4 linked regions of the Lonchura striata genome follow. The protein of the gene in region 2 purifies or fractionates together with the protein of the main gene of each other region. This does not show direct contact. Links are inferred from orthologs where the notes say so. Each region holds a gene or a part of one and is shown on either strand. Other genes may lie near its edges.

Region 1 (7,882 bases), about 63 Mb from region 2:
GCTGTGCCCCGGCTGTGCCCCTCGGCTGTGCCCCGGCTGTGTCCCGGCTGTGCCCCGGCTGTGCCCCAGCTGTACCCTGGTTGTGCCGCGGCTGTGTCCCGGCAGTGCCCTGGCTGTGTCCTGGCTGTGCCCCAGCTGTACCCTGGCTGTGCCCCGGCTGTACCCTGGCTGTGCCCCGGCTGTACCCTGGCTGTACCCTGGCTGTACCCTGGCTGTACCCTGGCTGTACCCCGGCTGTGCCCTGGCTGTACCCTGGCTGTACCCCGGCTGTGCCCTGGCTGTGCCCCGGCTGTACCCTGGCTGTACCCCGGCTGTGCCCTGGCTGTGCCCCGGCTGTACCCTGGCTGTACCCTGGCTGTACCCCGGCTGTGCCCCCTGGCTCCCTGCAGGCGCTCCCGGGTTCAGGCCAATACTACAGGACCTTGCTTAGCAGGTTCCGCTCTTCTTGGAGCTCATCAGCTGTAGGTACAGCCCAAGGACAGCTCCAAGGACAGCTCCAAGGACAGCCCAAGGACAGCCCAAGGACAGCCCTGTGCTCAGGCAATCACCCCCGAGCTGCGGACGGGCTTGTTCTCACACCGGGGAGCACAGTCACACAGGATCAGTCACACACGGGATCCCAATCACACGGGATCAGAATCAGACATGGGATCCCAGAGTCACACACGGGATCCCAGAGTCACACACGGGATCACACAGTCACACACGGGATCACACAGTCACACACGGGATCACACAGTCACACAGGATCACAGAGTCACACAGGATCAGTCACACACGGGATCCCAGAGTCACACACGGGATCACACAGTCACACACGGGATCACAGAGTCACACAGGATCACAGAGTCACACAGGATCAGTCACACAAGGGATCACAGAGTCACACACGGGATGACTCAGTCACACAGGATCACACAGTCACACACGGGATCACACAGTCACACAGGATCAGTCACACACAGGATCCCAATCACACGGGATCAGAATCATACACGGGATCACACAGTCACACACAGGATCACACAGTCACACACGGGATCACAGAGTCACACAGGATCACAGAGTCACACAGGATCACAGAGTCACACAGGATCAGTCACACACGGGATCCCAATCACACGGGATCACAGAGTCACACACAGAGGATCACTCAGTCACACAGGATTACAGTCACACACAGAGGATCACTGTCACACACAGAGGATCACTCAGTCACACACGGGATCACACAGTCATGCGCGGGATCACTGTATCACACACAGTCACACCATCAGAATCACAGTCACACATAGGATCACAATCACACAGAATCACTGTCACAGTCAGAATCACTGAGTCACACACAGGATCACAATCACACAGAATCACTGTCACAGTCAGAATCACTGAGTCACACACAGGATCACAATCACAGAATCACTGAGTCACACACAGGATCACAATCACACAGAATCACTGGATCACACACAGGATCGGAGTCACACCGTCAGAATCAGAGTCACACCGTCAGAATCACAATCACAGAAATACAAACAATCACACAATCAGAATCTGTCACACACAATCAGACTCACAGTCACACACAATCAGGATCACTGAATCACACACAACCACACAATCAGGATCACGCACAGTGACACCAATCACAGAACCAGAGTCACTCAAAATCATACAATCAAAACCATTGAATCACACAAAATCACAGAGTCACACACAGTCACAGTCCCACACACAGTCACACACAATCACACACACAGTCACCAGGCTGGAAGAGACCTCCACGACCATCGAGTCCAACCCAGCCCCAACACCTCAACTGAACCCTGGCACACAGTGCCACATCCAGGCTTTGTTAAACACACCCAGGGATGGGGACTCCACCACCTCCCCAGTCCCTGGGAATTCCCAAAATTCCCAGAATTCACAGAATTACCAAGTTAAAAGAGACCTCCAAGACCATCGAGTCCAACCCGGCCCCAGCACCTCAACCCATCCCTGGCACCCAGTGCCACATCCAGGCTTTGTTAAACACACCCAGGGACGGGGACTCCCCCACCTCCCCGGGCTGCCATCCCAGAACTTTATCACCTTCCTGGGAAGAACTTTTCCCTAATATCCAGCCTGAATTCCCCTTGGAATTCCACAGCTTGAGGCTGTGACCTCTGGCTCTGTCAGTTCCTGGAGAAGGAGCCCAACCCCAGCTGAGCACAGCCACTTTCAGGAGCTGTAGTTTGGCTTTGCAGTTGTTTTGTTCCAAGTTCATTTTGTTTCATTCTGTACTTCCACCTTTAAGGAACACTCCAAAGGAGATTCTGACCTTTAGGGTTTGAGAACCACTTCCAAACATTGCTTCGTGCTGAGCCACAGCCTCATTGGCCAAAGCAGGAACACAGAAAGAAAAGTTCATTTACCAATTATTAAATCTGACTTGGTTCACATTCTTGGCGTTGCATGTCATTAGCAGAAATAATATTTGATGTCACTGATTAAATTGCAGTTGCTGCATGAAGATAAAATTGTGCCCATAGCTATTTATGGTCAGAAATAAGTTGTAATTAAAATAAATCCAAAAGCCAGTCTGGGGCATGGGCTGATCTGAGCTTGACACAGGGAAGGAGGTTCAGTGACTTTCTGCTGTTTTCCTGATCAGAAGGAACAACTATTCCTGCTGTTTCAAGGAAAAGCTTTCCTCCCTTGCCAGTGCATTCACTCTTAAAAATGTAACTTTAATAAATAACACAGCTGGGATGAAGATATTGAATAAAAAGGGAGGGCACACCTGTGCTGGCAGAAAAAGTTACTGGTGTCCATCTGCTTTGGCACTTCCTTGCTTTGGGCTTCTGAGCTCGTCTGACATTTCATTGAACCCATCTAAAATAATTTCTGAACTGTCATAAATGTTTTGTTAAAGTATAAAATTAAATTTACTTATGATATAAAGGTGCTTATATTTGTTCATCTCAGATTTCAATAAAAACATGAAGTATTTTTCCTTTTCTTTCCTAATTTAAAAAAGGACCCCACAATTACTGATTTAATCCCCTCCTCTCCCTCTGTCTATGCAAAATATCTGATGCTCTTACTCATTTCTTTGTTCTCCTGGTTCATATTCCCAATCCCTTTCCTCAGCAGTCAAACATAATAAATCTGAAATACTCTTTGTTTGTTCCCCTGTGCCTTTTCCCAGGAAGAGGAGTGACCTCAAAGTGATTTCAGGGGACCACATCTGACCCCTGGAAAAGACAAACCTTCCATTCAAGTAGACTACAACATCTTTTAAAGCACATTTTAACCACTTCTGACAGTTCTTCTCATTTACCTTTAACATTTTAGACACCAATTGTAGCATAAGTAACTGAAGCAAAAGCAGCTGTGCACAAAAGTATGAAAAGTACCCTAAAATGTTATTTCTGCATCTCCAGCAAGTACAGGAGCATCTCTGGGAGCCACCGTGCACCTTCCAGCAGCAGCTGCCCCAAAAGCCAAAAGTTTGGATTTCTCACTGATGTTTTCACATGTGCTGGACTCAGATGATTGTGCAAGATCTCTGCAAACCCAAACTGACTCCGGCCTCAGAGGGTGTAAGGAAAAACCCACATGGCCAGGAGCCAGGAAAGGGACTGTAACTTCCCAGTGATTACAGCTCTGCAGTGAAATTCTAAACAAGTCAATGGCTCCTTTTTTTATCCATAAATCCAGTGGATCCAAAGCTGCTCTGGAAGATTCTGCAAAAACCTGCCCAAAAAAATGCAGGAAGCTTCATTAAAAATGAACAGGCAACTCAGTAGCTCAGGAAAAAAGACAGTGCTGAATCCTAAAGCCTGCCCTCCTGCGTGCCTTGCCATTCCTGCTGGGACTGAGAGGTTTTTCCAAGGCACAAGAAGCCATCGGGTTTGTTCAGGCAGGACAAAGCTGGTGGCAGCACAACCCACTGAGCCCTCAGTGCCTCCAGTTACTGGGGTGGAAAATCACTGATGGACAGGGACATCCTGGCTGGAAAAACCTGGGCATGGAGGCACATCCTGGGCACGGGAACGGAGGGCACCAGCCTGGCTCAGCCCAGGGACAGCCCCAGGGGGGTGGGATGTGGATGGGCTGGGGGCAGGGAGCTCTGCAGAGGGACCAGGACAGCCTGGAGCCATGGGCTGGGTGCCAGGCTGAGGGACAGCCAGGCCAAGAGCTGGGTCCTGCACTGGGGTCACAGCAAGCCCATGGAACACCCCAGGATGGGAAGGGAACGGAGCCCCAGGAGGGGCTGGGGAGCTGGGAAGGGGCTGCAGAATTCCTGAGGGAGCTGGGAAGGGGCTGCAGAATTCCTGAGGGAGCTGGGAAGGGGCTGGAGAGTTCCTGAGGGAGCTGGGAAGGGAATGGAGAGTTCCTGAGGAGCTGGGAATGGGCTGGAGAGTTCCTGAGGGAGCTGGGAAGGGAATGGAGAGTTCCTGAGGAGCTGGGAAGGGAATGGAGAGTTCCTGAGGAGCTGGGAAGGGAATGGAGAGTTCCTGAGGAGCTGGGAAGGGGCTGGAGAGTTCCTGAGGAGCTGGGAAGGGGCTGGAGAGTTCCTGAGGAGCTGGGAAGGGGCTGGAGAGTTCCTGAGGAGCTGGGAAGGGGCTGGAGAGTTCCTGAGGGAGCTGGGAAGGGAATGGAGAGTTCCTGGGGGAGCTGGGAAGGGGCTGGAGAGTTCCTGAGGGAGCTGGGAAGGGAATGGAGAGTTCCTGAGGAGCTGGGAAGGGGCTGGAGAGTTCCTGAGGGAGCTGGGAAGGGAATGGAGAGTTCCTGAGGAGCTGGGAAGGGGCTGGAGAGTTCCTGAGGGAGCTGGGAAGGGGCTCAGCCTGGAGCAAAGGAGGCTCAGGGGGACCTTGTGGCTCTCACAGCTCCTGCCAGGAGGGGACAGCCAGGGGGGGATTTGGGATCTGTTCCCAGGGAACAGGGACAGGACAAGGGGAAATGGGCTCAGGCTGGGCCAGGGCAGGCTCAGGGTGGGCAGCAGCAGGAATTTCTGCCTGGAAAGGGAGCTCAGGCCTTGGCACTGCCCAGGGAGGTGGTGAAGTCTCATCCCTGGAGGTATCCAGGGAATTCCTGGATGTGGCACTCAGAGCTCAGGGCTGGGGACAAGGTGGGGATCACTCACAGGCTGGACTCACAACTGAAATCATTCTGTGATTCCAGAAAAAATCCCCTGCTCTAAGCCCCAGGGCAAGCCCAACAACCTCACCTGGTCAGAAACTGATAAAGGTTGTACTGGATTCAAGTTCAACAAAGATGGCATAAGTCACAATATTTAATCAGAGGTTTCTTTGAAAGCCTTCCAAAACTTTTAACACAGGTTCCCTCCAGACAAAACAGAACAAACTCAAATCCAGGAGAGTTCCAAAGCACCCGAGTTTCTGTGACTTCACATCAAGTCACAGAAACTCAGGTGGTTTGGAACTCCCAAAGTCCCAGCTGAGTGTCAGTAAGTGCTCCAGCACTGAGTTCCAGTGTCAGCTGAGCGCCCAGAGCAGAGAGAGGATCCCTGAGGAACTTGCAGGTCAGGCTAAGAACGGGGAGGTGGCAGTGGCACTGAGGTGCCAGCCCCGCTGCCAAGGTGCTGTTTGAAGCTCACTGCCCTCTGGATCCATTTTCACTCCCCAGGGAAGCACTCAGCCTGGCCCCAGGAGCCCTGCAGGCCAGCACGGAGTGTCTCAGCACAGATTTGGCACAGGCAGCTCTGTTCTCCAGCTCACACAGCCAGGGCGCAGAGCTGGCAGCACACTCAGTGCCACAACACCCAAACCAGAACCAAACCCTCATCTTCCTTCACTGTCCCACAGCCTCAGGAGTAGAAACGGCTTTTTACAACCTGCCTGTTGAAATTAATGTCTGCTATGGGATTTACCAGGAGCAAACAAGAGCAAATCCTGCAGCTGAAATTGTTTCCTTGAAATACAGCAGTGCTCCTGTCGGGTAAGAGAAAGGAAATACTGCAGGAGGATTTTTGAGCAGTAAGAAGTTGGACACAGACTAATTAAGAGCTTACCCCTCCCTCTCAGGAAGGGAAGACTTTTTGTGGAGGGGATTTCTGAGCACTCCGTGCTTCTAAGAGAAGCTGGCGAAGCCTCCCCTCTCCATCCCAGCCCACAGGCCCCAGCACTGCTTGCAGAGCACAGGAGAGAACTCTGCAGCTGCCTCTGAATGCAGTCTGCATTGCTGGGAAGGGCTCTGAGCTGCATTCCTGCCCTTTTCCCATCACCCCAGACTGGAGATGCAGCAGGAGCAGGTCCCACACAGCTGGCAGCTCAGGGCTCTCCCAGAGCTCCCTGGCACACCTGGGGAGGAGGGAAATTCCAGTGAGGAACACCTGGAAACAGCAACTGCTTTCCCCCAGCACAACTGACTTCAGGATAAAACAGCTTGCTCAGTTTTAATTCATTAATTTCACCTCCTACATTAACTTAGGGTGTGAAATCTTCCTCACCACCTTCACAGGTCTGAACTAAAATAATTCTAGGTTTGTGAAGTGTTAGATATTACCGAAAGGGTACAGGAGTACAGAACCATTAATCTGCATTTAAAAGTCTCTCTGCCACTGCCCCAGGCAATGGGAACTGAACACCTACACAGGGCTGATAACTTTAACTTTGTCTGAGCTGCCAGACACACAACACCTGCTTCAAGAGCCTGGCTGCACCCAAACTGCTCCAGCTGTGCTCACAAAGGGGCTTCCTTCCACAAGAACATAAGCCTGAAGTAAAAGTCCAGCTGATGACATTTGCCATTGCCTTCTGTAAAACTAAGGGGCTTTATCCCTTAGTTTTGTCGCTTTCTGTTTTAATAAATAAATAAAAATTTAAGTTAGGGCATCAGCTCCCTCCCTGCTTGCTTTATGCCAGGACACCCCTTTGCCCCCCACCTCTTAAATCACAGAATCACTGAGGCTCTCGTTCACCCAAGACCACTGAGTCCAACCTTTGACCTAAATAAAGTTAAAAGTTGCACTGACAAAGTCTGAAAAATACCTCACCTTGCAGTCAGTCAGCAGCTACTTAAGTTACTTTAAGTGCTAACCACAGCACATCCTTTAGACATGTAACTCTTAAAATTTAGCGATGAGTTGGCACCTGCTGTCATAATTCTATTTGTTTCCACCTGGCCAAATATAATGTACTACCTGCTGTGGAATGTTGAGGTCTCCTACTGCTTCTTCCAGATCTGGGCTGCCTAAAACTCTTCATTACATAAGTTTTTTTTAAATAAATCTGTATTATTTAAGCACAGGTGAGAAATTAAAATAGTTCAGTCCTTACAGCCCACAGGACTGGGAAAGGCCCATAAAACTATTTAAATTTAGGTACAGTTTAACAATAGAAATCTGTTTAAACACTAAACCAGAGATGACAAATTCATGGTTCCTTCTACCTGGAACCAAGGGGAAAACAATTAACCTAATAAAAATATTATGAATTCCAATCTTATCACCTGAATCACTGTATCTGAGTCCCTCTTTAGGCTCTCTAAAGCTGCCCCAGAGCAGCCCATGCAGGCAGGCTGAGTGTGGAGCTCAGGGTGGCTCAGGCACCAAGCCAGGCCCAAGGCCTGGCTTTAATCTTCCAGATGTGGTTCCTTCCCTCCTCAGAAACTGCCACAGCTCCCACAACACACAGCTGAACACACCCACCCTGCTTTAAAGGGTTCCTAAGTCAGAACACCCACCTTGGTTTAAAGAGCTGTCCAGCTGAGAATATCCACCCTGGTTTAAAGAGTTCCTAAGTGAGAACAGAACTGAGAACATCCACCCTGGTTTAAAGAGTTCCTAACTCAGAACAGAACTGAGAACATCCACCCTGGTTTAAAGAGTTCCTAAGTGAGAACAGAACTGAGAACATCCACCCTGGTTTAAAGG
Region 2 (7,837 bases):
TAACATTGGTTAAGTAGCCTTCCCTGCAATGACAGTGTGATTTCCATCTGGGTAATTAGGCAATTGAGGCAAAAAAAAAAGCCCCATTTTATTAAATAATCACATCAAATAGTGCCACAACAGTAAAGTGTGTATATGTCAACACAAAATAGCCCAATCATTTTCCTGCAATAGTTTCAGAAATTTTACTAGAAGAACACACATTATCTCCCTTAGTATAGAACAGCAATGAAGAAAGCCTTTTTGTTTGAACAGACAAAAGAAAGTACAAGATCCCTTCTTTTTTCTCCTCTTATATAAAGAGTAAGCTTTGGTTCCAGTAGCCTACCAATGCTACCACACTCCCAGTGCCTGTCACAAGCTAGAGAGTTTAAGAGGTTATTAAGAGAGAATAGACTGTTATAAAGATGGGCACCAGATGAGCTAAGTTATTTAGTATGTTTTAGGCCATAAATCAATCTTTGACAAAACTTAGTGTGCTCTCCAGGCTTCAGAGAACAGAAGTTAGTCTTATCCACTTTGGTTTCACCCAAACTAATTCATTTACTATCAGATACTTTATCAGGTATGAGCTTCAACCTCCTTTCCTCCAGTCCCTGCCAATTCCCACAGCAAGCACACAACCAAAAAAGCCAAAGCCACACCTCTGCTGACTGAAAAGTGTCCCTTTTTTTTGTATTCTAGATTTCTGTGAAAAGCAAAGGACATGAAGAAACAATTACATACACACCCCTTCCAACTTCTCCACCCCTTTTTTCCCTGAGTATTTCCAGTACTGCATCATTAAAAATCCTGTCCTCTCAGAAATGGCCTCTCCATCATAGTGCACACACACACCCCCACGACTTATTTTACCTTCAGGTTTTTTCCTCATTTTCCTTTCCACACCTCTTACCTTCTAGCTTTTTTCAGAGTTTTTCCCTCCTGTGTGCATTTCCAACACACTAAGAAGTGTCCAAAGCCACACCTCTCACAGACTCCAAATATAGAGTTTTTAAAAAAGTGAGATGACAATAAATGTGGGACTATGACTCTCTTGGAAAGCAAATCTACAGTGCTACACTTTATGAACAGTTACAAAGATTATAATTGAATAAATTTCCTGAAAAAAATCTTGCTGCTTGATTAAGAAAAACTATAACTGCAATTTACCGGCCATGATCTATGTTATTTTAAAAGAAGTGAGAGCTTAGCTCAGATTTAAACAGGCTTTAAGAAACAATCAGTAAACATTGTGCTCAATCATATAAAGCACCTGAGCAAGCATGTAGCTGCTATCACCTGGGAGGTTCACACCTTAGCCTAGCCACCTGGAGCAAGTGCCAGAGAAATCATCCATAGACACACAGACATTACCAAATATTAAGTGTGTGCACTTACATGTTAGAAAGATGTGAAGGATTGAGATATAAAACCGCAGAGAGATTGACCTTCCTATTATCCCACAGATGAACATTTCAGAGGTTTCACAACTGCAGTGCTCATCAGTTAACTATATGGCTGGTTATAACTCCTGTCCAAGTTTACGCTCTTCTAAAAATACAACAAAAAAAGAAGAAAGAAAAAAACCCCAAGAAATAGTCCAAAAAAACCTACACCAGTACACGCAAAGCCAGAACAAACAACTTCCATGAACAGCAGCTGAGGTTAAAAACGAAGCAGATTGATTTTCTCCTACTGCTAACCTTCCAAGAGTGATCAACTGCAGATGTCTCACATTTGAGGGCTGAATACGTGCAGATTTTGAAGAACACTACATCTCTCTAACCTATAATTTACTCAGCTCTCCAGAGTCAGTCAAAAGAAACTCCACTCACATTACTGAGTTTTCTTAACATTTTTGTCAGTTTCTTAAGGAAGTTTGGACTGAGCTACAAAGGAAAACTTTCTGCTCTCAGCTAAACTGGCATATATCCAAATCTACCTCATTGTTCTAGAAGCAAACATATGTGAAATCAGAGTCCCAGCCCATCATTTTATTCTAAATTTAGTCATTACATTGATACAACTTCAGAGGATTGTAGTTTCTCTTTCTAAAAACCTATCTTCAGATTCCAGCTTTGTAAAAAAACCCACATTAAAAGTCAAGTGGACCAAATTCTTTATTGATCAACAGGTTCTGCTTTCTCAAAGTTCTGACACCAATTCACAAAATTAACAGTTCTCATCTGTCAATTACTGTACCTACATAGCATATTCACAGGTACTACGAATAATCAAATTGTCATTTCCTTGCCAATCTGTGTTATTTGGCCCAGTCAAAAAACAGATGAGACAACCCATGAAATTTCAATCAGAATAGGTATGAAAGATGCCAAAACGAGGACAAAAGAGTAATATCCCAAGTTTATTCTTTTTCAAAGCATCCCTCCACAAAACATTCTTTCCAAATTACAGGAAATATGGCTCTTTTGAGATACTACTAAAATGAGAAGAAAAACTTGTGAGGTGCCAAGGACCTGCTCTAAGTTTACATTCAGAAGTACCAGAAGGCACACTAGGCAGAACTTTAAAGACTCAAAACAAGTAAATGCTGAAGTCACCAGAATTTAATGCATAGTTTAAGAAAATTAGGGACATTAAGACTTTCAAGCAGACAGAATGATGCTAAAATTTCTGCCATGAACAAGTCACTGTTGTAGGTGAAAGGGAAGCCCACAACACAAGCATTAATTACCAAGAGGATCTTGTGTCTGTAGGTGTGACGCAGCCAGAGCTCACACAACGCTTTCAATGGAGCAGCACCACAGAAAACAGCCTTTCCCCACTCTGTTTCCTGCCATGCCCTCCACGACCTGCTCTGTTAGAGTAAATAAACTTTTGCAAATTTAAAAAAAGCAGCTCTCATCAAATGTAGATGATAAAAGCAGACCCACATGCCTGGATCTTTTCATCTACCACAGCCTTCAGAACACAGGGAAGCACTCACCCAGCGGAGCATAACAGGTCTGCTGGTCAGTATGCCGAGGTGCAGCAACCTTGTACTTTTTCCATACAACTTTTTTGGCTGTTTGAACGCTCATGATCAAGCTCAGTTTTTGAATAACAGGAAAGTGAAGATGCAGAGGAAGTACACGCTAGTACCCACGCAAGAACTGCATGCTGGGATTCTAGGGGGAGGGAAGCACTGGTTTTCCTCTGAGGGTTTGACACATTCAGCCACACAGTGACTGACAAAACCAGTCAGGAAATAAACCTTTAAAAAGGCTGCACGTTAGCAAGTCACAGGCGTCCAGCTACTTGAGATTTCTTTTCTCTTTAAAATCAGATAAATATGCTGCTTTGCTACTCCTTATGAAAATAGGATGACACCAGCTTTCAGAGAACAGGCAAGTTAAATTCTACAAACTGAAAATAGGAAAGCTGATGGTAACTTTCCTTTTCTGTTCAAATCAAACTCTGGTCAAGCACCATACTCATTTTAAATATCCTAAATACTTTTAGCATTCATTCTGTAAAAAGTTTGCAGTATCATTATAACACTTTTTTCACACATTCAACAGAACATAAAACCAGAACAACTCTTCAAAGTAAGCATCCACATCTTTAAATGGCCTTTCAAAAAAGCACAAGAAAATTTAAACATAAGATTATAGCACATAAAGGAAGTTGTACAAGTAGAAAATTACAAACTCTGATTAGGCATGCCCTCTCCACTGTGCAGTAATTCCAAACAAGACAGAGCAAGGAACAGTAAAGCAAAAAGTTGGTAATGCAGGGCTATGATAAGATCTGAGTTATTTTCAAGTGGGTCTTTAAATTTTGCTTACCACCAGTACAAAAAGCAAATTGAATCCCTCTGTCTTCCAAAGCCTGTTGCCATCTCTATAACCAAATTAAGAAGAATCCAAATGCTGTAGTTATGCAAGACACTCCATATCCCACACTTTTGGATTCTGAACTGTACAGAATTCCAAAAGTCACAACAAAGTAATGCAAGAAGAGATTAGCTAGAACACGCAAGTACAGGCACTATAACCAGAGAAAAGAGTTCTAAACCATAGAATTGGTTTCAAAACCAGAAAGATAGAGGCTGTTTGATTTGTCTGCCTGTCTCATTGTATCATGCTATAAGACAAATGTTCTTGATACAGCTCTCCTCTCTTCATTGATATCCAGTCAGGACAGTATTACACCCCAGACACTATTCAGAGAAGGGAAGGAGGAAGAAATCAAGATTAGATCTTTCTTTAAATTTTTGTGGGCCAGAAGTTGGTCTTACTTAAATTTGTGGGTTGGATGTTTTTTCCCCGAATTCAAGAATTCCTCAAAGTTGAAGGCTGAAAGGCCTCACACAAAAGGAGTTTTGTTTCCATGAATAAAGACAACCATACATTCAGGGGGCTAAATCAGACATTTGTAGCCAAACATTTCTGTGAACCATGCTAACAAGACCAAAGTGGAAAGGCAATAAAAGTTTTAAAGTTAGAATTTCTATTTTAGAAACAAACAAGTATGTATTTTGTAAATACAAATACAAACCTTACTGTGCACCAAGCACTTCCCAAGCATAAAACAAAGATGCGACCATCTCCACCAAGGAAACGATGAGAATTAGCACACAGACCTGCACATATGCCAGAAGTCTTACCAACAGCACCACATGCTCCTTTTTTCAAGTTTTGAGATGAGAGTGGTCTGAATCCCCTAAGAATGCTCGCCTGTATATCCAATACCTTACCTCACCTTAGTCCCTGCTGCTCCAAGGCCCACCCACACTTGGCAAGACTGAAGAATAAGCACAAGTTTCACGAGTCAGCTAGTCTGTGACAACATTTCTGGGTTTACCAATTCTCAAAGGAGGAAGTGATTGCAGTCAGTGAGAGCAGTTAGAGAAACACCACTCTGATTCCACCGACCCCTTGAACTGCATTCAATGTGAAGGTATTAGCAAAGCTGAGTAAATCATTCATGCGCCAGAGCTTCCAGAGAAGCTCAGCCCTCAAGCTCTGCCTGCCACCAGCAGCTGCGCCATGAACATCAGAGAAAACACTTTTATCTAACAGCAGGTTTTACCTCAAAAATCCAACATTTCAACAAGAATATACACTGAGAATATTTATTAACTTAAGGTGGGGGGAGGGGGAGGTGGGGGGTTGTTACACTATGTTTAAATTAAAAAAAACAAACATCTCTTGCCTAAACAGAAATAGAATTACTAGCATGAAATAGTTTCATATCTGAACCCATGTGCAAATAAGTTACCTTTAGGATGGCAGGAATATTTTTAAGCTAAATTTTAAAAGTGAAACCATGGTCTCTATGAATATCTGCAGTATTGGGTGTGAAATCCATACATTAGCTGCAAGAGCAGATAAACAGAAGGGAAATAGAAATTTCTGGTCAAAGTAATCTTTGAAGGCTGCAAAGGAAGACTTTTTAAAAAATATTTTAACCTAACTCCAGAGCTCAATAGTATACTCTCTACCCATAAACTACTTCATTCATTACGAGGAAGATGGTCTTATTTCTACTACTACTGAATTCAACATTTATTTAGTAGCTCTCTGACTGGAGTACGTGCTCTCTTCTATTCTCTCTGGTGTTGACAGCAGTAATCAAATTTTGTACATGCCACTGGCCCTATTATAGTTCCAGAGCAGCTGGCTGGTTGCCTAGGCTTCTTATCATGTATGATAGAAAAGACCAGCTGAAACTACTGTGGGAAGACAGAAGTAGAGGGAAGCCTAACTAGAAGCCTAATAATTAGAAATCACGTCTTTTTATATTTGCCCATATATTACAAAGCATAAAGAACAATGCTACACTCAACACATGACAAGCTTGCTGTAATAGTTTACAGAAGGACTGGAACTCAGATGACAATTCAGCCCTTGTTGAAGAGTAGGTCTAAATTCCATACTTTATCTGTGAAGCACGACTTAACTATATCTTAGTTCACAGAGCAGGGAATGGAAAAGCAAAAAACCACCTAGAGTTGGGGGGAAAAGGGAAAAAACTCAGATAACTGTATTCATTCATTTAAAAGTGAGCTCATAAATACTTAAGTTCACTTTTCTATCACAGCCCCAGCATATACACAGTCAGCACAGGGTTCAGAGTAAAATTAAAGGTCACAGAGGCAAACAACAATGGGACCAGAGGGCAACATCCTTTAATTCTAAAACTCCCCTGTATGTAAGACAATCTATAATGAAATTGGTTTCCATTTCTTCTTTGCCTTCTGGGAGCCTTCCAAGAGCTTTGAATGCCTTGACTCTAAGAAGAGGAAAATGGCTTCTTTTTCACAGCCTGTCTCCTTCCAGCTGTGTTCCAAGTAGGCCTTGAGTAGCCCTGCTCTGAACTTCCACTTTTCCAAACTAGTCTATAGAGAAAGGCTTGGGTTCTTGGCAGAGGAAAAAACAAATCTAAGGGACTTCTTATGGGAGCAGAACAAGGAGGTACAGAGCTCCTCCTTCACCTTCCTTCTCCAAGGTGAGAGCCAAGCGTTTTCCTAGAGGGGAAGCTCAGCCTTTCTCAAGGTTCCTGTGTTACCTGGCTAGTTCTACCCTTTAAAATACTGCTATAATGAGCATCTGGTTAAGAGCTTCTCATGCTCTGGGATTACCACCCCATAATTTTGTTCAGGATGTTTTATTTCACCACAACAACCTGACAACTTTTTTAGCTGGCCTGCCGCACAATTTGAATTAGCAGGCCACACAATACTTGTTTCAGCAAGCAAACAAGAGCTTCAAAGGAGATGCTAAGAAGGATGGTGGAGGGGCAACAGAAACTTAAAACAGAAAGTAATGATTCAAATGCTTGTTGCATTTTGATGGAAACTAGTTATTAGCTTATCCCTTACTTCCAGGAAACCCACAACACCAGCAAATTCAAAATGAGAACAATGAGTTTTTAGCATTTCTATTGAAACCTTGTTTCACACAGCCAGGTTCATGTCAGCATAAAGCTTTCTACTGAAAAGAACATTATCAATACAGTAGATGCCCTCATTACTGTGGAAGAGGAACAGCGTGTGTGGTGGCTAGTGGAGCACTGCAGTACAGATAACAGAGAGATATTCTCTCAGTGCTCTCACAGGCAGCTCCAACACAAACCTTTCCAGCACACAGCGCTTCAGGCACTTGACACATGGGTCTCATAAAACTGCATGTCTTTGGCTGCCACAAATAACTGACTCATCCTGCAAAAGAAATAATAGTAGCAACTGTACATAAATTGTAATGCCTTTCAAGAATCACCATAATTTTGGTATTTTTTGATGTTCTTCTTACAGTTTCCCTTTTCCTTTTGTAAAAGGGAATATTTTGAATGTAAATACTAGGGAAATCTATGGAGGACATTAATCTTTGGAAAGTGTTGCTTACATTATGATCACACCTGTAAAATCCAGCCACATCCAAACAGTACTTGCTTTTTGCAAATCATCCCAGGCCACCTGTTTACAGCAACTCATAGGAGTGACTCATAGGAGGTCCACAGGAAAAGTAGGAGCCTTCTGCAGTTTGCTTGTCATTTAAAATGCTGAGCACATCTTCCAAAGCAAGGTTCCTGCCCATTCACAGGTACCTTTATAAACCAAATCCTAATGAATCTATGACAGATGCACTGTTCAACATTTGTGTGCTCATATGCTGGGATGTAACGTGCATTTCAGCTGAAGCCCAGGCACTGAGCCTTGAGTAACAGCATGCAAGTCCAAGCACAGGAGAGGAGCCATCACCTGATCTGCCCCAGCTCCACCAACAAGCAATCCTGGTGGTTCAGAGTTTTCAAAACCACTTGTCCTGCTGCAGTGGAACAGACTAGCTTCAAGCCAGTGGCCAAGAGTCTGAAAGAGCTGCTGATAAGCAACTCTACCCAGGACAGACAA
Region 3 (7,061 bases), on a different chromosome or scaffold from region 2:
GGCATTGAAATGGGCATTAGAGTGGGCACCGGAATGGCCATTGGAATGGGCACCAGAATGGGCGCCAGAATGGGCACCGGAAAGTCACTGGAGTGGGCACCAGAATGGGAAGTGGAACGGGCACCGGAATGGGCACGGGAATGGGAATGGCACCGGAATTGACATTGGAATGGGCATTAGAGTGGACACCAGAATGGGCACCAGAATGGGCATTGGAATGGGCACCGGAATTGCCATTGGAATGGGAATGGCACCGGAATTGGCATTGGAATGGGCATTGGAACAGGCACCGGGATGGCACCGGAATGGCGGCAGCAGTGACAGCGCTGAGGCTGCAGGGACATCACTGGGTACGGTGTGATGTCACCAGGTACGGTGTGACATCAGCAGCCCCGCAGTGACGTCACAGCCCAGCAGTGACGTCACCGGCCCCGCAGTGACGTCACAGCCCCGCAGTGACGTCACCGGCCCCACCATGACATCACCGGCCCCGCCGTGACGTCACCAGGCAGGTGTGAGGATCCCGGTGCCGGGAGGCGTCGATGCCGCCGGCAGCCGCCCACGCCAGCGGCACCAAACCGGTGGCAACGGGAGCGGTGCCGGTGTCCCCGGTGTGACCGGGACCCCCGGGCACGGCGCGGCGGCGGCAGCCGGGGAGGCAGCGCTGCTTCGTGCGGCGCCGCTCAAATGTCAGCCAAATTTAGGTATTTTTGATGGGTTTTTTTTATCTCCGACCCCACCGGATCGGGTTCTGTGTGAGGGAGGAATTGGGGGCTGGGGGGGCAGGGAAAGACCCCCCAAATTCAGCTGCTGGGGCTGGGGAGGGTGCACAGCCCCCCCCACACGGCGCTGCCGCCCCCTCCCCAAATCTTCCCCACCAGGAATAATTCTCCTCTGGCGTTACATAACAGCGGATAAATAAGAGGAAAACCACCCAAAACGAGGAGGGGGCCCGATGCCACAGCCACAGAACAGGTGGCATCGCCTTGTCCTCGGGCTTGGGGACACCGACACGAGGCCACCTGTGCCCCCACACGCCCTGCTGGGGCCACCCCCAGCACTTGGGGTCACAGAAGGGGGGAAGCCCCCCAAAACACCGCCCAAAACGGGGGTGTCACCCAGCTGGGGGAGCTGAGGAGACCCCCAGGTGCTCCCCAAAACGGCTGAGCCAACAGCGGGGTCTCCCAGCAGCCACAGAAAAGCTGGGGGCAGAGAGGGACCCCAAGAGCCCCCCAAATCCGCCCCCTAAAACGGGGAACCCCCGTCCCAGCTGCCCCCGGAGGAAATCCTCCCCACCCCTCAGACAGACAGGGGGGCGCGCCCCCCGTTCCCCACCCGGGGTGGGGGGCTGGTCCCCACTCACAGGGGTCGGAACGGGAGGGATTTGGGGGGGCTCGCCCCTCAGAGCCCCCCCAAAGCGGGGGGAGGGCGCCGAGCCCGTGCAGCGCTGCCGCCGCCCCCACAGCCCCCCCGGCCGGGGGGCTGCAGCAGGGAAGGGGGTGGGGAGGGGGTGGGCTGACGCCCCCACACCCCGAGCGCACAGCCACCGGGCTGGGGGGGGACGGTGACACCCCAAACTTGCCCCCCACGGCGGATCCCAGAGCCTGGGGGGTCAATGTGGGGGTGTCTGGCACCCCCCCTTTGCTTGCCCCTCTCCCTTTGGGGTGCAAGGCGTGACCCCCTCACCCAAAACCGGGGGTCATGCACACAAACCCCCGCTGCTGCCCCGCAGGGAACCCCGAAATGGGACCCCAAAATCTGGGGAGGGGCTCATCCCAGAACACTCTCCCTACAGCAAATCCAGGCCCGAAGGGGGACATGGCTCAGGACCCCCCACCCCACAGGAGGGTCCGGGCTGTGGGAGACCCCAGGCTCCTTCACAGGGCGCAAGAGAGGAACTGGGGGACACCCAGACCCCCCTTTTCCACCTCACAGAGGGGCCCGAAGCCCCTCAGAGCCCCCTCTTCCCTCACAAAACAATCCCAAACCCCTTCAGTCCCTCTTTTCCATTCACAGAGAGATCAGATCCCCCCAGATCCTCTCCTTTCTCCACATAAAATACCCCAGGATCTCCCTTTTCACTCCCAAAAATGCCCCCAGACCCCCTCAGACTTCTTTATTTTCTCTATCGCTCAAAAGCCGACCCAGGTTGCCATCAAACGCTCTTTTTACCCCACAGGATTTCTCACACCCCTTCCAGGCCTCCCTTGCCCCTCACAAAGAGCCCCCAGACCCTTTCTGCCCCCCTTTTCCCTCACAAACAGCCCCAGACCCTCAGCCCCCTTTTCCCCTCGGATCCCCCTCAAAACCCAGCCCAGATCCCCCTCAAAACACCTTTTTACCTCACAGAATTACTCAGGCCCCTCCAGGACCCTTTTCCCGGACACAAACGCCTCAGACCCACTCAGTCCCCCTTTTTTTCCACACGGACGGGACCAGAACCCCCCAAATTCTTCTTTTTGCCCCCTCAGATCCCCTTTTCCCCCTCACAAACCGACCCTAAACTCCCCATTTCCCCTCACAAACCATCTCGCCATCCCCTCAAGCCCCTTTTTTCTTTCCTCAGATCCCCGTTTTCCCCTCACAAAAACCCCCCAGGCTCCCTCAGTCTCCTTTTCCCTTCACATAAAACCCCCAGGCTCCCTCGGATCCCCCTTTTCCCCTCACAAATCCCCCCCGGCTCCCTTTTCCCCTCACAGAAATCCCTCAGTCTCCCTTTTCCCCTCACAAACCCCCCCCAGGCTCCCTTTTCCCCTCACAGAAATCCCTCAGTCTCCCTTTTCCCCTCACAGAAATCCCTCAGTCTCCCTTTTCCCCTCACAAAAACCCCCCAGGCTCCCTTTTCCCCTCACAAAACGCCCTTTTCCCCCCGGCCGCCCCTCTCCCCCCATCCGCACCCCACCCCCGCCGTCCCTCCCTCACCTGCTCCGCGTCCCTCTCGTTGACGGTCGGCAAAGGGCTGCGAGCGCTGCTCGACATGGCGGCCCCCCCCCCGCGCCGCCGGCGACTATCGCGATAGGGGGAAGCCGCGGCAGGCAGGAGGCGTGCGGGGAGGGGGAAGGGGAGGCGGCGGAGCTCAGGGGGCGGGGGGGGGCCAGGCCAGCGGCATTGGGGGGGCCGGCAGAGGAGCAGGGGGAGCGGGCGGGGTCCGCCCGGCCCGGCCCGGCCGCCGCCGCCGCCGCCTCACGCCGCCGCCGCCTCAGCGCCCCGCGGCTCCCAACATGGCGGCCGCCGCCGGCCCTCGGCCATTTCCGCCGCCGCGCCGGAAACAGCCGACACGCCTCCCCGCGCCGCTTCGGCTCTTCCCGGAGCGCTTCGGGGCGCGGCCCTCACGGACTTCGAGTGTTTCCGCCTCCGCCGCGGAGCTACACGAAGCGTCCTTCGGCTCTTTCCGCCGAGCGCAGCGGGAGCGGCCGAGCGCCGCCCGCGCCGCCGCGGCTCCGAGCGGAGCCGGAAATACCCGAGTGGAACCGAAACTCCCGAGTGGATGCGGAAATGCCCGAACACCTCTTGGCAGCCTTCGGGCGCTTCCGCCCGTGCCGGAAACACCCGAGCGGAGCCGAATGCCCCTCCCCAGCCCCGATGGGGACCCAAGGATGGGGCGGGGGGCGGCTCGGACCGCAGGACCCTCCCCGAGTTTGGGAGACTTTCATGGACCGCAGGAGGCCCCCCGAAATTGGGGGCTTCTCATGGCCGCAGGACCGTCCCCGAATTTGGGGGACTCTCCCGGACCGCAGGACCCTCCCCGATTTTTGGGGGTTCTCCCGGACACCTGGACGCGCCCAGATTTTGGGGCAAGGCGCGCCTTGTCTGCACTGGGAGCACGGGGAGGGGGCGTGTCCTCACCCCGCCACGCCCCCTTTGGACCAAAGGGGCGGGGCAGGGATGGGTGGGGGGGTCCATGGGTGCCCCATCGCTCGGGGCACCCCAGGGCGCTGCTGCGGGGTGGGGGCGGGGGAGCATCCAGGGGGACCCCCCTTAAAATCACCGCTGTGGCTCCTCTGGAGCGGGGGGTGGGCTGCGACCTGCCGGCAACTCATCGCCCCCTCCCCGTAGCCCCCCGTAGCGGGGAGGGGCGGGGGGGGGGGATGGGAAAGGCGTGCGGCCCCTTTAAATTTACCCAGGAGCCCTTAAAGGAGCCCCAGGGGCCCCACGGCGGCGTCCCCAGCCCGGTCGGCCCCCGCCCGCCGCCGCCGCCGCCCCGGGCCCCGCCGTGGAGCCCCCGGGCCCCCACCCCGCCCCCGGCCCGCTCCCGGCCCCGGCCGGCCCAGGTGAGCACCGAGAGGGCGGCGGGGGAGCGGGGGGCGCACAATGGGAGCGGCGCTGGCGCTTTAAGAAGCCCCCCGACCCCCCCCCCCAGCCCTTTGCCGTTCCCTGTCATGGGCTGGGAGGCCCCGGATTCTTTAACGGGTTCCTGGCCCTTTAAGATGACCCGATTCAATTTAGGGTGTCCCGTGAAGATGCCTCCATCCCTCTAAATTAGCCCGGTCCCTTTAAAAGGTCCGCAGGACTTCAGGATGTGCCCATCCAATTCGGGATGTCCCTGAGCCTTTAAGGTGTCCCTGTCCCCTTAAAGGATCCCCGTCCCTTTCAGATGCCCACAGGAATTTCGGATGTCCCTGTCCCTGGAGGATGCGCCCCTCCCTTCCCCGCCCCCTCCTCATTTACGGACCCTGCCCCTTGAAGCGCGCTGCCCCTTTAAGAACCCCCTGCCCCTTTTAAGATCTCCTTTTTGCTGCTCTGTCCCTTTAAAACCCCCCGGCCTTGCCCCACATCTCACCCCTAATCCTCGGTGTCCCCTCCATCCCTTGGACCCCTCAAATCCCCCCTGAAATTCCCCCTGAACCTCCCCCGATTCCTGGACCTCCCTCCCCGGCTTTCCCTGCAGCCCCTTCCCCGCGGGGGCTGCACCGGACCATGGAGCCGCAGAAATCCCGGGAGAAACCCCAGGAGAAACTCCAGAAGCAGCCCCAGAAACCCCGGGAGAAACCCCAGGAGAAACTCCAGAAGCAGCCCCAGAAGCTCCAGGAGAAATCCCAGGAGAAGCCCCAGGAGAAACCCCAGGACAAGCTCTGGGAGCAGCCCCGGGAGCAGCCCCGGGAGCAGCCCCGGGAGCGGCGGGCGTCACGGCCGGGCCGGAGCCGGGTGCCGGGCCGGGACCACCGCCGGTACTACCACGAGCGCTGGCGCGCCGAGTACCTGATGGAGTTCAACGCGGCGCGGCGCGGCATGCGCTGCCTGGTGTGCGGCAGCGCCCTGGCCACGCTCAAGCTCAGCACCATCAAGCGCCACATCCGCCAGAAGCACCCCTACTCCGGAGCCTGGGGGCCCCGCGAGAAGCAGCTGGTGCTGCGCTCCTGGGACGCCCACCCGGGACGGACCCCCCGGCCCGAGGGACCCCCCGGCGGCGCCCACGGGACAGGTACGGGCCGGGCTGGGGGTGGGGAAGGTGGGGCGCGGCACCTTTAAGAGGAGTGGGGTCGCTTTAAATGCGGCCACGCCCCTTTAGGAGCAGCTCTGTCCCTTTAAATGTGGCCACGCCCCTTTAGGAGCTGCGCTGTCCCTTTAAATGTGGCCACGCCCCTTTAGCAGCTCTGTCCCTTTAAATGTGGCCACGCCCCTTTAGCAGCTCTGTCCCTTTAAATATGGACACGCCCCATTTAATTTCAGGCCACGCCCTCATCCACACTGACCACACCCACTTTTACCGTAGCCACGCCCCTTTTCGTTAAAGCCCCGCCCTCTACACACCACGCCCATGATCTGACCACACCCTTTGCTAAACCACGCCCTTTAAAGGGACACTGTCCCTTTAAGACAGGCCCCGCCCGACCACGCCCAATCCCTCAGCCCCGCCCCTCTCTGGGGCTCCTCCCATGACCGCAGTGCCAGCCCCGGGTCCCCAAAGTGTCCCCAAGGTGTCACCAATGGCCCTGGGCCTGTCCCCGAGTGGTCCCCAAGGTCCTCAAAGTGTCCCCACTGGCCCTGGACCTGTCCCCAGGGTCCCCAGTGCATCCCCCCAGCCCGTCCCCACCGCAGGACCCCGTCCCCCTCTGTCTCCCCTGGGTGACAGCCCGTCCCCACCGCAGGGCCCCGTCCCCTCTGTCTCCCCTGGGTGACAGCCCGTCCCCGCCGCAGGGCCCCGTCCCCCGCTGTCCCCGCTGCGGCGCTGGCTGCGGGCCGAGCTGCGCCTGGACCTGGAGGCCGGGGGGCTGCGGCTGCGCTGCCTCCTGTGCGCCCGCGCCCTGCCCTCGCTGCACCTCGGGGACATCCGGCGGCACGCGCTGGCCGCGCACCCCGGCAGCCTGCGGGGACACCGGGGACACGGCGGGGACGGGGACGGTGAGAGGGGACACGGGGGGGACAGGGACAGCCCTGGTGAGCGGGGACATGGTGGGGACAGCCCCGGTGAGAGGGGACAGGGGGACACTGGGGACAAAGTGCCACCCCCAGGGAAAACCCCAGTGAGCGGGATCAAGGAGGGTTTGGGATATGGGGACAGTGGTGGCTGTGGGGGGGAGCCGGGGACACTGGGGACACCGGGGACACTGGGGTGGGTGGCACTGGGGACACTGGGGACACCGGGGGGGTGCTGGAAGCTTTGGGGACACTGGGAGCGGGTGGGGACAGACGCAGGGGACACTGTGGGGGACAGGGAGGTGACAGGAGGTGACAGCGCTGTCCCCACCAGCCCTGCCAGCCCCCGGTCCTGCCGAGGAGGAGGAGGAGGAGGAGGAGGAAGAGGCCGCAGGGGGGGAGGGGGCCACAGGAGCCCCCCCCGCCTGAGCCCCCCCGGGATGGGGACACTGGGAGGGGGTGGGGACAACAGGGGACACCCCAGGGGGGCAGCGGGGACACCAGACCCCCCCCATCAGTGTCCCCAGTTCCCCCCCACCACAACACAGCCACTCCTGTACCCCCCGGTGTCACCCCCCGGTGTCACCCCCCGGTGTCACCCCCACCCCCCGGTGTCCCCTTATTTATGTCTGCGTGTCCCCCCACCCCGTTTTCTTACACCCCTCCCACCTTGTACACGACCCCCCAATAAACCCCCCAGAGAC
Region 4 (7,433 bases), on a different chromosome or scaffold from region 2:
GCCACGTGTGATGTCCCCCCACGGGGCAACAGGGACATCTGCATCAGCACTGGAGCTTGCCCTGCTGCATCCCATCAGGCATAGACATAGGAGGGGCTGCCATGGGGGAACGAGTAGTTCAGGCATGTTCCTCAGAAAGGAACTTAAACTTGGCTGCTACAGTGTTTGGGATCACTGAAGGAGCTGAACTCCCTTCCAGCTTTCTCATTATTTGCCATGTTTCCAGCACTGGCCTTCCAACACTGGACTTCCTTCCTATCCAGATCTGTCTGCTGAGCTGGTCGGTGTCAGGGTAACAAGATGGGAATGTCATTATCCAGACCTGATTTTGTCCAACCTCCGTCAGCTGAAGCATGTTCAAGGATCACAACCCAGTTTTTTCCAATTTAAAGCAGCTTTGGCTGAGCTGGCTTTAAGCTGTTGTAACACTGATAATGCAAAAAGGAAGAAAAATAAGATACAAGAAGGGTTTAAGCATGTCCCAGAAGTCCTTAAAAAATTACACCTCTGCTATAGAACAGCACAGACAGTCATAAAGAAGCCACAGCTATAGAAAGGCTCTCTTGTGTCCTTACCTTCTCTGCCTGTGAGGGAAATGGGAACTATGTTCCCTGTAGTGCTGAGTGGTGAGCTTGCATATGTGGCCTTGCAATGATTTTGCTATTAGGACGACAGTTTATGTACACAAGATATGAACACTGGCCTCTGCCTGAAAAAAGGGAAAAGCCCCCATTAACAGGCAGTGTCCTCATTGTCTCCAGTAGCCTCTACAGAAAGTTGAGCACCATACCCACAACCCTTTCTGCACAGTTTTTCTTGTACTTTTGTTCTTGCACATACAGACCCCAAATCCCTTGATCTTGCTTGGACACCTGGGCAGTTCCTCAGACATCACTTCTGCACTTTATGACCTGGACATGCTTTGGTGCTCCTTGTCCTGGGAAGCAGCTTCTGTGTTTTTCAATGCCCTGACTTCTTCCAGTTCACTGAACTGCTTCTTCCATTTAGGCCCTTGACTTCAGCTGAGCCCATGGGCCCCTGCAGGTCAACAGCAGCTATTAGCATTATTTTGCCTAACAATTTGTTTATATAGCAGGAATGAAAGGGACACTAATCTAGTTCAAGCATCTAAGCACTGCTAAAATACAAAAATCAAAAAATTATTATTTGGCTTGTTTGAAAGATTCCATTCTTCACATCAAACCCTTTCAGAAGGAAAACTGATGGAGAGAGAGTTTTGCTAAGCCTTGTCTGTGCTGAACGGCTTTCTAGTGATTAGAGATGGAAGTTTGGAAGTATTGAGTGCTTTGCCCATCCCACCACACATCTCAGCTTCTTTACAGAGAGTCACTGAACACTGCAATTGCAGTGTGAGTAATTACAGATGCTGCCAGAAACAAAACTGTCAGGGAAAGTTTGTAGTTGAAATCAGGAATTTGCTTTCTGCTATGCCCTGGAAAACATTAGGGACCAGCAGCTGACTTTGGAATAACAATTTTCTGTGGCAAACCTGGGCATCCAATATCTGAACACCCAATTAAATGCCTGGTTTTATCTTCTGTTTCTGCTCCTGCTGCATAAACCTGAATTTCAGAAATCACAATGCAGGTGTGACTGGCAGACCTGAGGCAGGACTGAAGTCAGTAATGTTGGTAGGGGTACCAGCAGAGAAATCTCAAGACATCTTTTCTTTCTCACCTTCAGTTCAGCAGCCCAAAGTTGCTCTTGGGGTACACAAAGACTCAGGGTACACAAACAGAATTATGAGCCTGCACTCCCAGGACAGGGAACACACGCATCAGTATCAACTGCAGTGTCTTCAGGAGGAAAGACAATCTGTGGCACTGTTTGCCTCGAGCCTGTGCCTTAGCATCTCTTACACTACCTTTATTTTCAAGACTAAAACATCACCTCCATTTTCTTTACAGTCCCAAGGTGGGCAAAAAGGGGGAGGAAGAAGCAGGGAAGGCTGCTATGAAGTTTATTTTGTACCGGGGATCCATATCTCAGATGAAGGTCCTGGGAAACTTCATTATGTACCTCAGTTGGAATGAGAAAGCAAAATATCTGGAATAAGCACAACTCTCAGCTACATGCAGTGCAATTGTCTATACAAGTGAGTTCCATGGGAATCTACTGGAGCACCAGGAACAGTCAGCAAACATGGCCCAAACACACAGTGTGCCAAAGAAGGGTGAGGCATTAAACATTTACTTTCCTTTCTCTATTACCTTTGCACAACAGGACAGAAACCACCTAAATATCTCTTCATTATAAATTTTCTTGAACTACTTCAAAAATACACTTTTCCATTAGCAGCAGCACTCATCCTTTATTAATTACTAAAGAAGAAACATAAAAATAATTGGTAAGAGCTGATCACTTGGAAACAGATGTCTGATTTTATAACTTGACCTGGACATTTGTGCTTGAAGCTACACAGGAGTGTGAATGCTACAACAACAGGCACGGTAACACCTGATTTTGCAAACCTGTCTGTTCCCTCCCATCCTTATTTTACAAACCTAAAGCTGCTGGAACCAAAGGAGCACATTCATTAATTATGCTTTGCACCTGGGAATGGGATCTACAAAAACCCACCAACCCAAACATCCAGGGTATTGTACATGAGCTACTAAATGAGCAAGGGAGGAATCAGGTGGAGAAAAGGGTGTGTTGCAGCCTGCTCCTGCACAGGGATTAGGTACCTTGTTCAGGTTTAGCGGGACATGCTTCTTTTCACTCTGGATTCACAGCCCTGAAAACTTAATTATAGCTTTTCACCTTGCATTGATTAACATGAGAAATGAAGAGCCCTCTCTTCCGTCTGCTTTTTCTCCACCCACTCATTATCCTTGAATAACACATAATTTGGATTCTCACTCTCCATAGGTGCAGGGTTGCATTCCTACTGGGGAGGAGGGATCCATAACCTGGATGAGGCTGCAGATGAACTAAAGTAGAGGCCTCCTTTTGGAGGGAAGAAGCATGGTCTGAGAGACCCTACTAAACCAAGACAAACTCGTCTGAGGATGATCCCATATATAGGTCCCACCACAAAGTGAGGAGGTGAGTCCCAGGTTGGCCAGCCCACATTACCCTGGGGCACATGTGTGTACCTAGAAACAAATCCCCAGTGTCAGAAATGAATGGCATCACTTCAAAAAAGGGCAAGATGGAGCCCTTAGGAAGCCACATGACTCACATGGCTGAAATGATTGGGACTATCCAAAATTATTTGGACTATCCCAATATCCCCAACTTCTCTGGCTATCCCAGCCTCCACAAAGTGTTGTCTATACATACACCAGATGGTCCAGAAGCACTGGAGTTTTCATTCCAGCTTAGGAAGAAAGCAGAGCTGCTCTGCAAGGAGCAGAAACAAAGGCAGTCCTGGAGGTGCTTCCTGTCTGCAGCTGCTGTGGGGGAGCACCTCCAGGCCTGCTGAGGACATTTCTGAAAGGCAACCTGAAAGCATTGCTTTCTCTGATGCCTGAGCGGGAGCTTTAAGCCCCTTGTCAGGGGTCTATTGTTTCCTAGGAGGGCAGAGAGTATGGGAAAAATTGCAAAAAAAGACATGTAGCCCCACAAGTCTTTAACATTTGTAATCAAAGGGCATATAAACAATTACTAAATGTGCAAAAGTATCAGTCACAAACACTTAATACCTTCATCCTACAAAGCCGTGAAATAACTTGTATTCTACTTCCATACCGCTGAAATTTAAGTACTTGGGGCCACCCGTTAGTTTTAATTCACTTTATAGAAAAATCCTTGGGAATAAAACAGAACTGGGTTTTCCTTATCTCTTCCCTGCCCTTGGTTTCCTACAGCTCCCCGCTACACCCCACTGCAGACGGCAGCTGCGGGGCTGGCACTGCCGCTCCGGCGGGGCCCCGCAGCGCCAGACGCGGCCACAGCCCGGGCTCGGAGGGAGCCGGGGCTCCGCGCGGGGGTCCCACGCCGTGTCCCCGAGGGGTCCCATGCCGTGGGGCTCGGAGGGAGCCGGGGCTCCGCGTGGGGGTCCCACGCCGTGGGGCTCGGAGGGAGCCGGGGCTCCCCGCGGGGGTCCCACGCCGTGTCCCCGAGGGGTCCCATGCCGTGGGGCTCGGAGGGAGCCGGGGCTCCGCGTGGGGGTCCCACGCCGTGTCCCCGAAGGGTCCCACGCCGTGGGGCTCGGAGGGAGCCGGGGCTCCGCGTGGGGGTCCCACGCCGTGGGGCTCGGAGGGAGCCGGGGCTCCCCGCGGGGGTCCCACGCCGTGTCCCCGCGGCAGGGGCGGGACGCCCCGGTCCCACTCCGCCCGCGGGCGGTGCCGCCAGGTGCGCCCGCCCCGGCGCGGCCCCGGCGGGGCGGCCGCGGCTCCTGGCCCCACCCCGCCGCGCCGGGAGCTGCCGCCCCCCGGCTGAAGTCCGGAGCGGCCGCGCCGTGCCGAGCCGAGCCGCGCCGGGGGTGCCGTCACTCGGCGCTTCCAGCATGCTCCTAAGATGGCGGTAGCGGCGGCGGGCGGCGGCGGGGGCGGCCGGGCGCAGCGCAGCGGCTGGCTGGAAGTTTTGGTGCGGGAGCGCTGGCACAAAGTGCTGGCCAACTTGGGCGGCGAGGCGCTGGTGCTGAGCGGCGAGGAGCGCCCCGACGGCGCGGCGCACAACGGGCTGGGCGGCGATGGGACGGCGTGCCGCGGGGCCGAGGGCGGCGGGGGGCCGGCGGCGGCGCGCACCGCCTTCACCGACCCCCCCGAGCAGGTGCCCGAGGCCATCTCCAACAAGAAGCGGTGCGTGAAGGTGCTGAAGCAGGAGATGGGCGGACTGGGCATCAGCATCAAGGGGGGCAAGGAGAACAAGATGCCCATCCTCATCAGCAAGATCTTCAAGGGGCTGGCGGCCGACCAGACCCAGGCTCTCTACGTGGGCGATGCCATCCTGGCCGTGAACGGCACCGACCTGCGGGATGCCACTCACGACGAGGCGGTGCAGGCGCTCAAACGGGCCGGCAAGGAGGTGCTGCTGGAAGGTAGGGGAGCGGGGCGGTCCGGCCGTGCGCACCCGGGAGCGGGGGCCTGTGGGGCGGGGCGGCTCCGCTGCCCGAGAGGCGGCGGAGCCGAGCTGGGAGCGAGGGGATGACCCCGCGCATCTCCTGCTGCTCCTCCGAGCGTCTTTCAGCACGGAGAGTTCACGCCCTGTACGCGCTGGGACCCTCGACGGCGTGTGTCATGGACACAGCCCCTCGGCAAGGGACGAGCGGGATGCCGGGGAGCCGGGCTTGAACTTTCCGCTCTCGTATCCGCCGGTGCAGTCCCCACAGCCTCGTCCGTGCGCGGTCGGTGGAGGCTCCGCAGCCCCGTCTGGTCGCGGCGATGCACCCAATACACTCAATATCTGCTCCTGGGCTGAGGCTCCCGGTAGGAGCCTGACCGAGCCTCCTGCAGGGTGAGGGATCCTCTGGATCTGCCGTCAGGACGCTTTCACATCTTTTCAGTACAAGAAAGGTGGGGAGAGTTGGGTACTTTGAGAGGAGAGGTTAAACAAGTAAAGGAACCCCTCCTTCCTCCCCTGGCATTAAGGGAATGACATGGGTGACTTTGCCCCAGTCATCTCGAAACGCCCGACACCACCCTCTCTCCAGTTCCTCCTTCCACCACGTACTCCCGAATAGGGATGTGGGGTGGGGGCAAAGCGGTTTAAATGAAGCTGAAGGTGCCTCACGGACTCACTAGCCATCCCACCCCTGCAAAGGAGCGCCCTTTCCTTTCTCAAGGGTGGCTGAAACAGTTTTGTAAAAAGTAGCCTTAGAAATTGACCTCAGAGAAAAGAGCAGACGCTGGTGTGCGTGGAGGGGACGTGGAGGGAGGGTGTCCCCCCAGAACGGGACGGATGTTGGGGGAGAGCGAGTAGAAAAGCACAGGCGGTTTCCCTCAGACTACGAGTCCATGAGGAGAGAGGCGTGCACAAACGTTTAATCCCCGTCTTTTCACAAGGGCTAATTTACTTGCTCCACCTGAGAGAATGAACAGCTTCAGAACTGCCCTTGGCGTGTGTATGATAAAGTGATTACATATTTGCCCACGAGTTCATTTAACCGGAGGTCAATGGCATTTGAGGCATGCTGCATCGCTGCCTTCCCCTGTGCCATCGCTTTCCTGCCGGCACTCCCACCTCGCTGTACCTGTAGCCCTTTCCGTACCGCGCATTTCTTTCTGTGTTTTTTTGGTGGTTATTTTGAGGAGCAAAAGGAGATGCTACCGCTGGCTGGGAGGTGCAGCTGAGGATCAGCCATGAGCAGCCAACTATGGCATAAATTTGCAGAAAAAGTTTGAAAGGGAGAGAAGGTGACAAATGTATTCCATAGTAGTGTGTGCTGAGAAACTCTTTTGTTGTCCCTATGACAGTGAAAACTGGAGGAGTTATGCTCCATGAGGATTTAAGAAGCTGAGGACAATTGTGTCTCCTCTCCCTCTGTGCCCTGCAATACCTGCAGGACCGAAGTGCATCTTGTCTTCCCTTGCTGCAGCTGAATTGATTACAGCTATACCTCTGAAGTATTAATATGAACTTCTCTGAAGTGGGGCTGTTGCATCTAAATTTTGTCACTGATTTGCTTGTGCAGTGTAAGGTCTTTCTGGGGTGCCGTCAGGTAGTGGCTGGGCTTTTGCTGTGACCTAATGAGTAATGTATATGATGCTTGCAAATCTCCCTGCCTCTGTGTGGTGAGCCTTAAAAAACCCTGTTTTCTTCCAGGCTAGGAGTGAAGATGAAGCCGTTTCAGTGGGGACTCTGAGCACCCTCCTTCACTCCTTTTGACATCACAGCTGTCTTGCATTTCTTTGCTCCGTGCTGAGGTGCCTCAGTAGTTGTTTCTGCAATTGAATTTGTAATTTGCAAAACGAGAATATATTTCAGTAGTGATCTGTATATAGAGGTAAAATATTCTGATGCTGCACTCCGTATTTTGTCCTGGCTTTCTCTTGCTATTTCAGCAGAGTAACCAAACCAAACGTTGGCTCCAGCATTGCCTGGGAGGGCTTCTCCCTTCAGTGGGGACCCACTCCACATGAATGGCGTGTGAAAACAGGCAGCTTAGAACAATTCTCTGTGATTTTATTGCCCACTTTGAAGCTCATTCTTCAGCAGCAGAGTCTAAAATGGTATGTTTATTACTAAAGGAAGGAAAATGCAGAAGTTCTTTTTACTCTTTAAAGTATGGAAGGGTAACACTTGATTTTCCTTTCCTTACAGACAATAGGATTTTGCCATTTCCTGACTTCTTAGAGAGTTATATATGGCAAAAAGCAGGCTGTGATGGGGCAGGGCAACACCCTTGTGCAGGTCCTCTCTAGACTCTATCCAATTCACAGAGCAAAGTCAGCATGTGTTTCCAGGGTCAAAATGTAAGATCTACATTTTGGGGAGATTCTGAGATTTGTTTGTGTCTTCCAGCC

The links.
Region 1: the proteins of UTRN (region 2) and DTNB purify together in Homo sapiens (affinity purification with mass spectrometry; 3 studies listed by BioGRID and IntAct, with this or other methods). This does not show direct contact. The link is inferred for Lonchura striata from reciprocal best matches to the Homo sapiens genes UTRN and DTNB.
Region 3: the proteins of UTRN (region 2) and MARK2 purify together in Homo sapiens (affinity purification with mass spectrometry; 4 studies listed by BioGRID and IntAct, with this or other methods). This does not show direct contact. The link is inferred for Lonchura striata from reciprocal best matches to the Homo sapiens genes UTRN and MARK2.
Region 4: the proteins of UTRN (region 2) and SNTB1 purify together in Homo sapiens (affinity purification with mass spectrometry; 3 studies listed by BioGRID and IntAct, with this or other methods). This does not show direct contact. The link is inferred for Lonchura striata from reciprocal best matches to the Homo sapiens genes UTRN and SNTB1.

The regions. Positions count from the first base shown.
Region 1 is NC_134605.1:113,405,505-113,413,386, reverse strand, and holds the start of DTNB (dystrobrevin beta), read right to left. Parts: upstream 3,023-7,882; 5' UTR 2,875-3,022; coding exon 2,783-2,874; intron 1-2,782.
Region 2 is NC_134605.1:49,976,098-49,983,934, forward strand, and holds the start of UTRN (utrophin), read right to left. Parts: upstream 3,025-7,837; 5' UTR 3,024-3,024; coding exon 2,930-3,023; intron 1-2,929.
Region 3 is NC_134638.1:332,577-339,637, reverse strand, and holds the start of MARK2 (serine/threonine-protein kinase MARK2), read right to left. Parts: upstream 3,067-7,061; 5' UTR 2,980-3,066; coding exon 2,923-2,979; intron 1-2,922. Other genes in the region: ZFTA (zinc finger translocation-associated protein), read left to right, coding at 4,918-5,422, 6,139-6,342, 6,692-6,786. UniProt on the Homo sapiens protein: Serine/threonine-protein kinase. Involved in cell polarity and microtubule dynamics regulation. Phosphorylates CRTC2/TORC2, DCX, HDAC7, KIF13B, MAP2, MAP4 and RAB11FIP2. Phosphorylates the microtubule-associated protein MAPT/TAU.
Region 4 is NC_134603.1:13,522,156-13,529,588, forward strand, and holds the start of SNTB1 (beta-1-syntrophin), read left to right. Parts: upstream 1-4,403; 5' UTR 4,404-4,485; coding exon 4,486-5,008; intron 5,009-7,433. UniProt on the Homo sapiens protein: Adapter protein that binds to and probably organizes the subcellular localization of a variety of membrane proteins. May link various receptors to the actin cytoskeleton and the dystrophin glycoprotein complex.